3 linked regions of the Cricetulus griseus genome follow. The protein of the gene in region 1 interacts with the protein of each later gene in a biochemical or structural test. Links are inferred from orthologs where the notes say so. Each region holds a gene or a part of one and is shown on either strand. Other genes may lie near its edges.

Region 1 (3,707 bases):
CTCACAGGATGGCTGGTAGGTGATGTGGGTCAGAGGTGACCTGCCGGGAGTCACAATCCCCGCCAGAAAGCGCTATGATAAATGCTTGGCTCAAGTCTTTGGTAGGACTGGAACTTTCTGGGCACCCAGCTAACCAGTATGTGCATGCACTTTGGGGATCATCAGAACACTGAACCGGTAAGACTCATCCTCCCACTTATAGCCAGGCCTCCTGCTGTCACCCCAGCATATGGGAGGCTGTAGGGGGACAATTGCTAGAGTGTAAAGCTAGCCTGGCCTATAGTATGTCTTTGTCTTCCCCCTCCCAACAAGTTTACAAGCAAGGTCAGTGTGGTAACTTCTCAGCTTGAACACAAGGCTCAAATCCATTGAAGAGTCTGGTGAGGTCCCTGGACTGGGTCCCAGTGGGCAGTGTTCACCCAGCATACAGATAGCCCTGGAATGAGGGGGACCCAGTTTCAAATCAAAACAACAGGAAGGGCTTGCAATACAACTCACCTGACAGAGCCAATGCCCAGACAGGAAGCAGCAGCTGGGACCTCAGACAGTGGCTCCAGGGGCAGAGTCCACAGATAATCCCTTACCCCACAAAAGTAGGTGCACACACAATCTTGGGACCCACATAATCTGTGCAGATGCCTCAATACTGATGAGCCACTGGGCTAGGGTTTCATCTTTAACACTAGAGCTCACTATGTACCCCAGGGGAAACTCAAATCTAAGGCAATCCTCCCGTGTCTGCCCCTTGAGTGCTGGAATTACAGGTATGCTTCTTTACTGGCATGCTCATGCATGCATCGGTTTCAGTGTTCACACTCCAGTCAACCTAGGTGTCCTTCCTCCAGATACCACCTCATTTTTTAGAAACAGTGTCTAACCGGGTGATGGTGAGGCTTGCCTTTATTCCCAGCAGCAGCCCTGTCTTGAATGGAAACAAGCCACGCCTTTAATCCCAGCAGAGGCAGGAGGGACGGACCTCTCTGAGTTTGAGGCCATTCTGGTCTACAAAGATACACAGAGAAACTCTGTCTCCGGGGGGAAAAAGAAAAAAATAAAAAACAGAAAACAGCGTCTGACCCTGGGACATGGGGTTGAACAAGGTAAGGCTGGCTATCCAGAGGGCCCAGTGACCTGTCGGTCTCTGACCTCCCACACTGAGATTACCACTTATGGCTTTTTACATGGGTGGGTGTATGGAACCAAATTCGGCTGCTTCTCCTCCCCACCAGGAGCACCCTTCATTCTGGACCACGCTCCTGACCTCCACTCAGTGTCAGAAGTCTGAAGCCCTTTCAGTCACAGCAATCACAAGTGTCCCCAGACACTGCCCAGGGTTCCTGGGGACAAGAATAGCCAGAAAAAGGAAAGATCACTCAAACAAATAACCAGAGACAGGAACAGACCAAAGCATAATAGCCAGTGGGGACCCTGTGTCCTCTCCAGCACCCCACCAAGGCTGACAGGCCTATAGGATGCTAGCTAAGGAAACTTCGGGACATTTACCCTCCGGGTGACAGAGACATTCACAACAATTTCAGTTGGCTTGTTTTGGTTTCATTGGAGGTGGTGTTTTTTCATTTTCTTGTTTGGGTTTTTTTTGAGACACGGTTTCTGTCTGTAGACCAGGGTGGCCTTGAACTCAGAGATCCACCTGCCGGTGCCACCCAAGTGTTGGCAATAAAGGCATGGAACTGCAGGCCTGGTTTTTGAGAGACAAAGATCTACTATGTAGCTCAAGACGGCCTCGAACTTCATTCCCATCTTCCAGTCTCAGCCTCCCACGGACGGGATGACAGGCAGCTTACAACTGAACTACCGGCTATTTTAAAATCCTTTTCAAAATTAATTATGATGTCAGGTGTAGTGGGGTACACTTTAATGCTGGGAAGAGGGGGGAGTCTGAGGCCAGCCTTGTCTACACAGAGAGTTCAAGGACAGCCAGGGACACACAAAAACTGTCTCAACAAACTAAAATCAACTGTTCTCACAATGTGGTCCATGTAACTTGAACTTCTTAGGTAGCCCAGGCTGGACCTTGAAACTCTCCAGATAGCCCAGGCTGGGCCTTGAAACTCTCCAGATAGCCCAGGCTAGGCCTGAAGTCCCGGTGATTCAAGTGCCACACCCTCCCAAATGCAATACTGAGTTACAGGTTAAGGACCAAGGACCTGAGCCATTCTCTAGGGCCCTTGTTTTTGGTCACAGCTCTTTTGAATCCTGTGTACAGTCCTGGCTGGCATGGAACTCCTCCCTCAGCCTCCAGTGCGCCAGCACACCTGCCTCACAGCCGTCCAGAGAGGGCAAGCCACCTGCCCCAGTATGCACCGCAGGCAGACGGAGGCCCTCGCCCTCCACCCCACGCTCCCACCCCCCCGGTGCCCGACAAGCACCACACCGCTCGGAACGGCAGCGGTGACCACGTCCACTCGACACAGGAGGGAAACCGACAGAGCAAGGTCACGACGCTGGCGAGCGGCGAAGCCCGGGGCACCCCGAGGATGCGGAGGGCCCACACCCAAACGCCGGCCTTCTCTCCACAAGGAGCGCCGGGGGCGCCGCCGGACTCAGTTTCCCCGCTGCGCCGCCCGCTCACGTGACCGGTGGGGCGCCGGAGGGCGGGCCCCGAGCCACCTTTACCTTAGCGGCTCCCGAGCGCCGCGCACCCCGAGCCACCGACGCCCACGCCCCTCGGGGCACGGCGAGCCCCCCAACTCACCTCTCAGTCGACCGAAGCCCCGACCCACCGACGGCTGCGCCTGCGCACCGCGGCGCGCACAGGACCCGCCCTCGGGGCCACGACGCCTGCGCAGAAGGAACCCATGGCCTCCGCGTGCCCGTGCTGCGCGTGCGCCTGAGCGCCGGCCAAGCGACGGAGCGGAAGTGGCGTCACACGGGGCGGGCACACCCGGGTCGTTGGAGAAGCTGACCTCGGCGGCGTCCGGAAGACCGGAAGTCTGTCTGAGACGCCGCGAGCTGGGCCCGCGTGGGGCCTGGCGGGGCGGTGGCGGACCCCGGTGACGCCGAGGCGGGTCACGTGGCACGGAGCTGGTCACGTGCTGCAGCTCCCTGCGTCACAGCCCGGAATCGGAGCTACTGTCTGTTGCTAGGCTGTTTTCCTGAGAGACCCGCCTGCCTCTATCTCCCGGGTGCTGCGGGTGCAGGCGAGCGCCGCCACCCCCAGCCCAAGCTAGACTCAAACCATCGCCGCCTCCATGGGCGTTAGTGACCCTGTCTTTAATCCCGGCGCTCGGGAGGCAGAGGCAGTGCCCGGACAACCTAGTCTTAGAGAGAGAAATCCCATCTTGGAAAATGGAAGTTTATGGCAATCCCCCTGCATCAGCCTCCGAGTACTGAGATGTCAGGCTTCTGCCTTTCCGCTTACCATGGATGTACCGTTATGGTTACTAGAGTAAGTGTCCTGGCTTGTCTAGGGATTTGGAGTGGGTGGTAAGGCAGAATAGAAAAGCCAGGCACCTTTGAGGGACTTGGGAAGAGACAGGACCCTGTCACCTCTACATCCAGCTGAAGCCATCTCTAGCAGAGAATTACCGATTGTTTAAGGCTTTTCTTACTTCCAGGCTGGAAACATACTATTTTTTAGCAATCTCACCAGAAATTCCATTTACAGGGAAAGGATACAAACTTAACTACACCCTTTTGCAACCCTGTGACTTCTGCTTTCCTTTCATCAGATTGGTTTTAACGGC
Region 2 (3,644 bases), on another chromosome or scaffold:
AGTCAGAAGAGATGGGGGAGCGTACCCCATCCCAGGCTCCAGAGCTTACCGCTGCTGGCCCAGCTCCAGCGGGCCCAACACCTGCGCCAGAGACAAACGCACCCAAGTAAGAGATGGAGAGAACCTTTGTGGACTTGGAAGGCAGAGTGGTCATGGGTGTAGTGTGAGGACCAGGAAGGACATGAAGGGAGGAAAGTGGTTGCTGGGGGTCTTAATGGTCTTAGTGTTGTGGGATCAAAGGACATCTCTCGTGTAGCACTATTGTCTCTGAGGCAAGATGATCTGGATGCCTCCCGAGCTGTGGTTTGCAGAGGCCTAGTCTGGTTCTGAGCCCCTCTTTGCCTCCTTTGCACAGGACCATACTGGGACATGGGAGCATTGCTTTCTTCTCACCGTCCTTTGCTTGTCTTAGGAGAGCAAAGAGAATACCTGGGGAATGGCAGGGGGTCCCTGGGGACAGGCTCAGCTCAGTGCCTTGGTGTTTCCACAGCCACCCTTCCCCTGCGGAGCATGTGGAGGTGCTCCAGGAGCTGCAGCGCCTACAGCGCCGTCTTCAGCCCTTCCTGCAGCGCTACTGTGAGGTCCTAGGCGCTGCTGCCACTACAGACTACAACAACAACGTGAGCCTTGGGGTGGCCTTCTTCCCTCATACCTGGAAGCAGCAGGTTGAGATGCAGATAGCTCTTCCCTGTCCTCAGGGTTAGCACAGAAATCCCTCTCTCTAGACGAGTGGTCTGCGGTGATGGGAATGGTGACAGTCTTTGGTCCTATTGTGTCACTAATTGTTTAGGAAGCATACAGAGTGGAAAGGAATTATACCTGGTTACTTAACCTTTGCTGTGTTTTTGTGGAAAATTCTTTATGTATATTGAATAGAAATTGAAAATTGAAAAGCTTTGGTTCATGTAGATGCTTCCAAAGACAGAGGACATGGCAGTCTCAGAAGGCATCATCCCTATTAATATCCTGCTTTTCTGGGTTTGACCTGGGCACAGCATGAGGGCCGTGAGGAGGACCAGAGGTTGATCAACTTGGTGGGGGAGAGCCTTCGGCTCCTGGGCAACACTTTCGTGGCACTGTCTGATCTGCGCTGCAATCTAGCCTGTGCACCCCCCCGGCACCTGCATGTGGTACGGCCCATGTCTCACTACACGACCCCCATGGTGCTCCAGCAGGCAGCCATCCCTATTCAGGTGGGTTCACGGAGCCTGGCTGGAGGGAGAATGGGCAGGGTAGCATCTGATGACCCAAATGGCTGCTGGGAGGCTAGAAAGCAAGAAAACTGTGGTGACAGAGCATGTGGCATCTCTGGAGGTGGCTCTTGGGGTGGTCTGGGTTAGGCCCCTGTGTTTGTCTCATGTCTGCCTGTTCTCTCTTCCAGATCAATGTGGGGACTACTGTGACCATGACGGGCAATGGGGCCAGACCTCCGCCAACTCCCAATTCGGAGGCAGCATCCCCAGGCTCTGGTCAGGCCTCTTCCCTGCCTCCATCTTCTACCACTGTTGATTCATCAGCTGAAGGAGCTCCCCCACCGGGGCCAGCTCCACCACCAGCTGCCAGCCATCCACGGGTCATCCGGATTTCCCACCAGAGCGTGGAGCCTGTGGTTATGATGCACATGAACATTCAAGGTGAGCTGGGGGTAGTTGCTGGCAGAAAAGAGCAGCCAGGGCGGGAAAGGGCGGGAGGGAGGTGCTTTGTGGGAGGAGAGCCAAGCCTTCTTGTTGCAGGGGACAAAAGGGGACAAAAGGCCTGAGAGTGGTGATGTCAGGAGGTACGGCCAGGCCTTGGCCCTGCCATTCTTACATTTCTGGCTGTCTTTCCGGCTCAGATCCTGGATCACAGCCGGGTGGTGTCCCGAGTGCTCCCACTGGTCCCCTGGGACCTCCAGGTCATGGACAGACCCTGGGTAAGAATGAGGTTATCAGAGCAGGCTGAGAGCTCTGGGTAGAAAAGGGGTAGGGCTGAGTGGTGGGTGGGTTGAAGGGGTCCAGGTTCAAGGTTACATCAGACCCACCCCCCAGGCTCCACCCTCATCCAGCTGCCCTCCCTGCCCCCTGAGTTCATGCACGCCGTCGCCCACCAGATCACTCATCAGGCCATGGTGGCAGCAGTTGCCTCCGCGGCCGCAGGTAATAAGCTGGGAGGGGAGGCCTGGGAGGCGGGGCCTAGTTCATGGTGGTGGGTTTTGTCTGCTGACAGGCGGGGACTGAACCCTCAGCCCTCTTTGGTCTCTTTCTGTCCACAGGACAGCAGGTGCCTGGCTTCCCAACAGCACCAACTCGGGTGGTGATTGCCCGGCCCACTCCTCCACAGGCTCGGCCTTCCCATCCTGGGGGTCCTCCAGTCTCTGGGACTCTGGTGAGCAATGGTTGGGGAGTACCAGTGGGAAAAATCCTGGCGGATTGTGTGGTGGGGGGCAAGACTGAATGCTTTTCCTGTCCCCCAGCAGGGCTCTGGACTGGGTACAAATGCTTCACTGGCCCAGATGGTGAGCGGCCTTGTGGGGCAGCTTCTTATGCAGCCTGTCCTTGTGGGTGAGTCGTGTTCTTTCCTAGCTCAAACTTGCATGCTTGGGTTGCTATGAGTTCAAGAACATCCTAGACTGTTGACTTAATTTCTAAGATAGCTTGGGCTACTGAGGAAGATTTTGGGGCAAAGGGACATCCATGTTTACTGTGTTGATGGTCCTCTGTCCTGCTCTGTATGTCCTAGTCCTCATAGAACATCTTAGTTCTTGTTTTTCTGCTGGAAAGACTAGAACGGGCAGTTTTAATCTGGTTTTTGTACAAATTGTACTTTTTTTTTGGTTCCTGACAGCTCAGGGGACTCCAGGAATGGCTCCTGCTCCGGCTCCGGCTCCAGCTCCGGCTCCGGCTCCGGCTCCAGCTCCGGCTCCAGCCACGGCTCCGGCTGCAGCTACAGCCACAGCTCCAGCTCCTGCTCCAGCTCCAGCTCCTGCCACTGCTTCAGCTAGTGCTGGCACTACAAACACAGCTACAACAGCTGGCCCTGCTCCTGGGGGTCCTGCACAGCCCCCACCTCCTCAGCCCTCTGCCGCTGACCTTCAGTTCTCTCAGCTCCTGGGGAACCTGCTGGGGCCTGCAGGGCCCGGGGCTGCTGGGCCTGGCATGGCTTCTCCCACCATCACTGTTGCAATGCCTGGTGTTCCTGCTTTTCTCCAGGGCATGACCGATTTCTTGCAGGTGAGTGGCTGTCCTTCTGCCCTTTTGTCCCCCAGCCCAGTAGAGCAGTGGTACTTTATTGCCAATCTGTAGCTGCTGAGTAGCAGCTGTAGAGATGTGAGAGGGGGAGGGCCTGCCTGAAAATCAGCGCTGTCCCTGTTTCCTGGTCTGACCCATTCAGAGGCAGGGAGGTAGTTACTTGGTTTCTGGTTTCATGCCCTCTGTTGAGTGTCTGTCCCTGAGTGTTCTGGCTTAAGAAGTTAAGATCAGAGCCAGTTTGCTGCTCTTGCAGAGGGACCTGGGTTGGATTTCCAGAACCCACATGATGGTTCACAACCATCTGTAACTCCAGTTTAAGGGATCTGTTTCCCTCTTCTGGTCCCCATGGAAACCAGGCACACATGTTTCACAGACATATAGGCAGGAAGAATGCCTATACACATTAAATATAGTTAT
Region 3 (3,744 bases), on another chromosome or scaffold:
GCAGGAGTAATGTCCTGCAGGTGGCTATCTTCCAGCCTCAACTGCTCCCAGGGGGTCCTCCTCAAAGGAGCTAGTACTTACATGACCTTTAGCACCCAGGCATAGGTTCAGTGAAAAGAAGAACCACTGTCTTCAGCTTACATTTCTATCTCCTCCTCAGCACCCTGAGTTTCTTCTTAAGCAATGAAGGTGTGCAAACTGAAAGTCCCTGTACACAGGTGGCAGAGGAAGCATCCGTCTCATGCTGTGGGAGAACGCTGGGTGAGGAGACCCAGGAAGAATCCTAGTTGTGACACTGCTTTGTGGAGTCACCTGCTGTCCCTCATGGATGAGACCGACTTCCAGGAGGAGCCAAGCAGATAGGGTCCCCCCAAGAAGAGCTATGTCACAAAGGCCCAGGATATTCCATCTGTGGCCCATGCTTGGCTACCACTTCACTTTTGGCTTCAGTTTGCTTACTGAACACAAGATGGCACTGCAGTTGGTGATAGCAGACTCCCACCTTGAGCCGGGAAAGAGGGAAGGAAACTTATTCAGGTCAGAGGAGTGGTCACCACTAACAGACTCAATGGTAGGGGACCTAAGTGGCACAGAAACTTGACTTAAGCCATACAACGGAGCTAGGGTATCTTTCTGATCCTCCAGCCCCTGACTTTGTCATTCATCAAGAGCACACTGGCTGCAGCAGCAGAGGGACTCTGGATGGCTACCACTTGGCTTCCTATGGAGATTTGCCAAGGGTATGCCAGACATACTAGAGGACAGGTGACAGGGACTAGTGGCTTCCTGAGGGAGTCACTTGAGTGTGTATGTTGAGTGGGCTAAATGGGAATGTTAAGGCCCATCCCTCAAAACAACACACTCTTTCTCCTACAGAGGCACTTCTACAGCTGGCTAGACTTGGATTCTGGCTGTCCCAAGCCATTGCTAGGTGTTTCTACAGTGCAGCCTCAACTGTCCTGTGGAAGGCAGAAGAGAATTCAGGCCAAGTACTTTGAGTAGTGCTTAGCACCTAGCAAGAACTGGGTACATACCAGCTATTATTATCACTATGAGCCAAACTGCGACATGAGAACACATTTAATGCAACATGCAGCTGTGGCCTGACCTGGGATTTCTCCCCCCACTCCCAGAAATGCTATTTGGAGAACCCTTTTTCCATAGACTCAGTTACTTCAGGGTGTAGAAAGCGGCTGGCCAAACGTTCAATGTCATCCAGTGTTAGGCGGCTCAGAGATCTGTCATAATCCTGAGAAGAGAAGACCAGGTGGGTTCAGGGGGTGCAAGCAGGAAGGGGTATGCTGTAATAGGTGGGGGCTGGGGCTAGAAACATTAAGATTGGAGGTCCAGAATTATTCTGCTCACCCTCTGTAGTTGTTCCAGGACCCTGCTGGTATCTGCTACACTGAAGTGACGGGCCAGGACTTTGGAGATCAGCTGCCAGAGGGGTGGGGGTGGGGAGTCGACCAGTCTGTGGGCAGACCCTTCTTCCAGCAGCACCTTCTCCAAAGGTTTAACGACTAGGTTGAGTTTAGAATTGGGCCCAATGTTGTAATCTGACAGTCGTTTCTCATCTGCCAAAGAGAGATTGGTGGGGTTCCTTCCTCATTGTTGTGGGGGTGGCCAGAGAGCAATCCTGCCATGGACAGCTAGAGTGAAACACTGCAGCATCTGGCTATGGGGTGGTGGCGTCTCAGCTACTTTTCCAAGGTTTAGTGGCAGCCACTGCTCTAATCCATTACACTGGCCTGTACATCCCGTCCCCCAACTTCCAACTTCCTACTTCCTGTGGGGGGTCCCTGGATGGCTCCTTTCCCTGGTTACCTGTTAGGGCCTTGCCCTTGAACAGCAGACGTTGCTGGCGCACAGGGACGTTCAGCTTATCCGAGACCAGATGCTTCAGTGTAGACACTAGCTCGTCCTCCGGCACCTGATCCGGCCGAGGTGGAGAGGCAAGGGCTTAGTCCGAATTCCCTGGGCGATGCAGCCCTAGTGCCCCCTCCTGAGGTTAGCTCTCCTGGCCTCCCCCGCCCGCCATTGGCCCCAGCGGCAGGAGTGTGTGAGTGTAGCAGCCTGCAGGGTAACCTTACCTGTAGGCTGCACTCCCGGCCCTGGAGCGCCTTCACGGTCAGCTGCATGATGCCCACAGCCGCGTCCACTAGGACCAATGTAAACCCCAATGGTCCCCTGCCGCGCGCCGCTGCCCCGGGCGCGCGCCGGAACCGCCCGCCGCCGCCGGAAGCCGTGAAAGGGGCGAGCCCGCCGCGTGGCTCCCGCCCGGTCCCGCCTCCAGGCCTTTGCGCCTGCCTGAGCCTGGGGTAGCGTCCACCGCCCTGGGCCCACAAGCCTCCAGCGGCTTTGGTGCAGGGAAGTGGGGCCATTCCGCCCACTGGGATAGGAGCGAGGAATCTGTAGGGTCAGGCTTGCTTCACCGGGGAGCTGTGGCTTGAAAGGAAGGACCAGAATGTCAGCCTCATGCAAGGCCTGACCTGTTAATTCCTACCCTGCTGGTGGACCACATCAGGGCAAACATGTAGTAGTGTCTCTCAGATACAGAAATGGTCCAGTCCTACCTGCCATAGCCCAATGGCTTTCTACTTCTTCCTTTCTAGTCTGGTTGCAAAAATATCCTGGCCGAGGCTCCAAAGTAGTGGACCTAGGCCTCTATCTCTTCACTCATTATAGAACAGAGTCCTGCCCTGTTCTGATAGAGAAAAGCCTTTGCAGATCTGGAGATATAGCTCAAAGGTACAACACTTGTCTACCATGTGCAAAGCACAGAGGAAGGAGAGAGTGGGCTCTGTGCACGGTCACCAAGCCTGTTCACCATCCTGGTCCATATCAACCCAGACACACTCTTCCTATCCCCATCCATACACTCCAAGGGACAAAGACTGGAAGGGACCCAAGCTTGCTTTTGTCTTTTATTGAAATATATTTCTAACTCAGCATGGCCTCTTTGGCACTGAAAGCTGGAAAAAAAAAGCCTGGATTTGTCTGAGTGCATAGTGCATGAGAACAAAAGGCCTTTGGTACAGAACTGTGGGGACAGTGGATGGAGTATGGGGGCTGGGGTTATAAAACTTGATCCAGGGTCCTCATGGAACAGGAAACAAGTTGCTGTAGATGAACTGGCCAATAACCAAAGCCAGCATCTCGGAGGTACCACTCAGTGCCACAATGAAGGGGGCCTGAGAGGCATAGTCTGCTTGAAGGCGACGCAGAGACAGCTGCAGCATAGCTAAAGCTAGCAAGCTGTTTTGTACCCCTACCTCAATGCTGACTGTCCGCCGCTGGGCCACTGGCAGCTTCAGGCACATGGCTAGGCTGTAGCCCACCAAAAGGCCAACCAGGGGCACTGTGAAGCCCACCAGTACGATGGGTAACCTGACTCCCACTAAGATGAAGACCCCCATGTGGTAGGCCAGGAATAGGCCACCCAGGAGAAGTACAAAACTGAAGGGCTTGATGACCTGTAGCAGCAGCTCTGAGAACTTAGGGAGCTTAGACTTGATTACCACACCTGCTGCTATGGGGATGGCGATGAACAGCAGAGTCCCCAGTATCTTGGAGATGGGCACGTGGAGTGTTTCATGGATGCTGAGAAGGCGGCTGTAGATGGCTGATGAAAGTGGCAAGAAACCTGTGGCAGCTACTGTTGAGATGAAAGTCATGGAGATGGCCAGGGTGACATCTCCTCCAAGGAGGAGACTGAAGAGGTAGCTCCCCCCACCGCCAGGTGAT

Evidence for each region.
Region 2: the proteins of Sgta (region 1) and Bag6 form a complex in vitro, tested with the Homo sapiens proteins (4 studies listed by BioGRID, with this or other methods). The link is inferred for Cricetulus griseus from reciprocal best matches to the Homo sapiens genes SGTA and BAG6.
Region 3: the proteins of Sgta (region 1) and Ubl4a form a complex in vitro, tested with the Homo sapiens proteins (3 studies listed by BioGRID, with this or other methods). The link is inferred for Cricetulus griseus from reciprocal best matches to the Homo sapiens genes SGTA and UBL4A.

Annotation. Positions count from the first base shown.
Region 1 is NC_048598.1:101,842,333-101,846,039, forward strand, and holds the start of Sgta (small glutamine-rich tetratricopeptide repeat-containing protein alpha), read right to left. Parts: upstream 2,873-3,707; 5' UTR 2,717-2,872; intron 1-2,716. UniProt on the Homo sapiens protein: Co-chaperone that binds misfolded and hydrophobic patches-containing client proteins in the cytosol. Mediates their targeting to the endoplasmic reticulum but also regulates their sorting to the proteasome when targeting fails.
Region 2 is NW_023276806.1:231,665,063-231,668,706, forward strand, and holds part of Bag6 (large proline-rich protein BAG6), read left to right. Parts: coding exon 1-106; intron 107-490; coding exon 491-620; intron 621-995; coding exon 996-1,193; intron 1,194-1,381; coding exon 1,382-1,634; intron 1,635-1,834; coding exon 1,835-1,912; intron 1,913-2,027; coding exon 2,028-2,135; intron 2,136-2,251; coding exon 2,252-2,364; intron 2,365-2,452; coding exon 2,453-2,540; intron 2,541-2,823; coding exon 2,824-3,209; intron 3,210-3,644. UniProt on the Homo sapiens protein: ATP-independent molecular chaperone preventing the aggregation of misfolded and hydrophobic patches-containing proteins.
Region 3 is NC_048604.1:1,347,393-1,351,136, reverse strand, and holds the start of Ubl4a (ubiquitin-like protein 4A), read right to left. Parts: upstream 2,253-3,744; 5' UTR 2,139-2,252; coding exon 2,091-2,138; intron 1,931-2,090; coding exon 1,825-1,930; intron 1,575-1,824; coding exon 1,366-1,574; intron 1,250-1,365; coding exon 1,175-1,249; coding exon of another isoform or gene 1,139-1,174; exon of another isoform or gene 503-1,138; coding exon 386-502; 3' UTR 1-385. Other genes in the region: Slc10a3 (P3 protein), read right to left, coding at 3,099-3,744. UniProt on the Homo sapiens protein: As part of a cytosolic protein quality control complex, the BAG6/BAT3 complex, maintains misfolded and hydrophobic patches-containing proteins in a soluble state and participates in their proper delivery to the endoplasmic reticulum or alternatively can promote their sorting to the proteasome where they undergo degradation.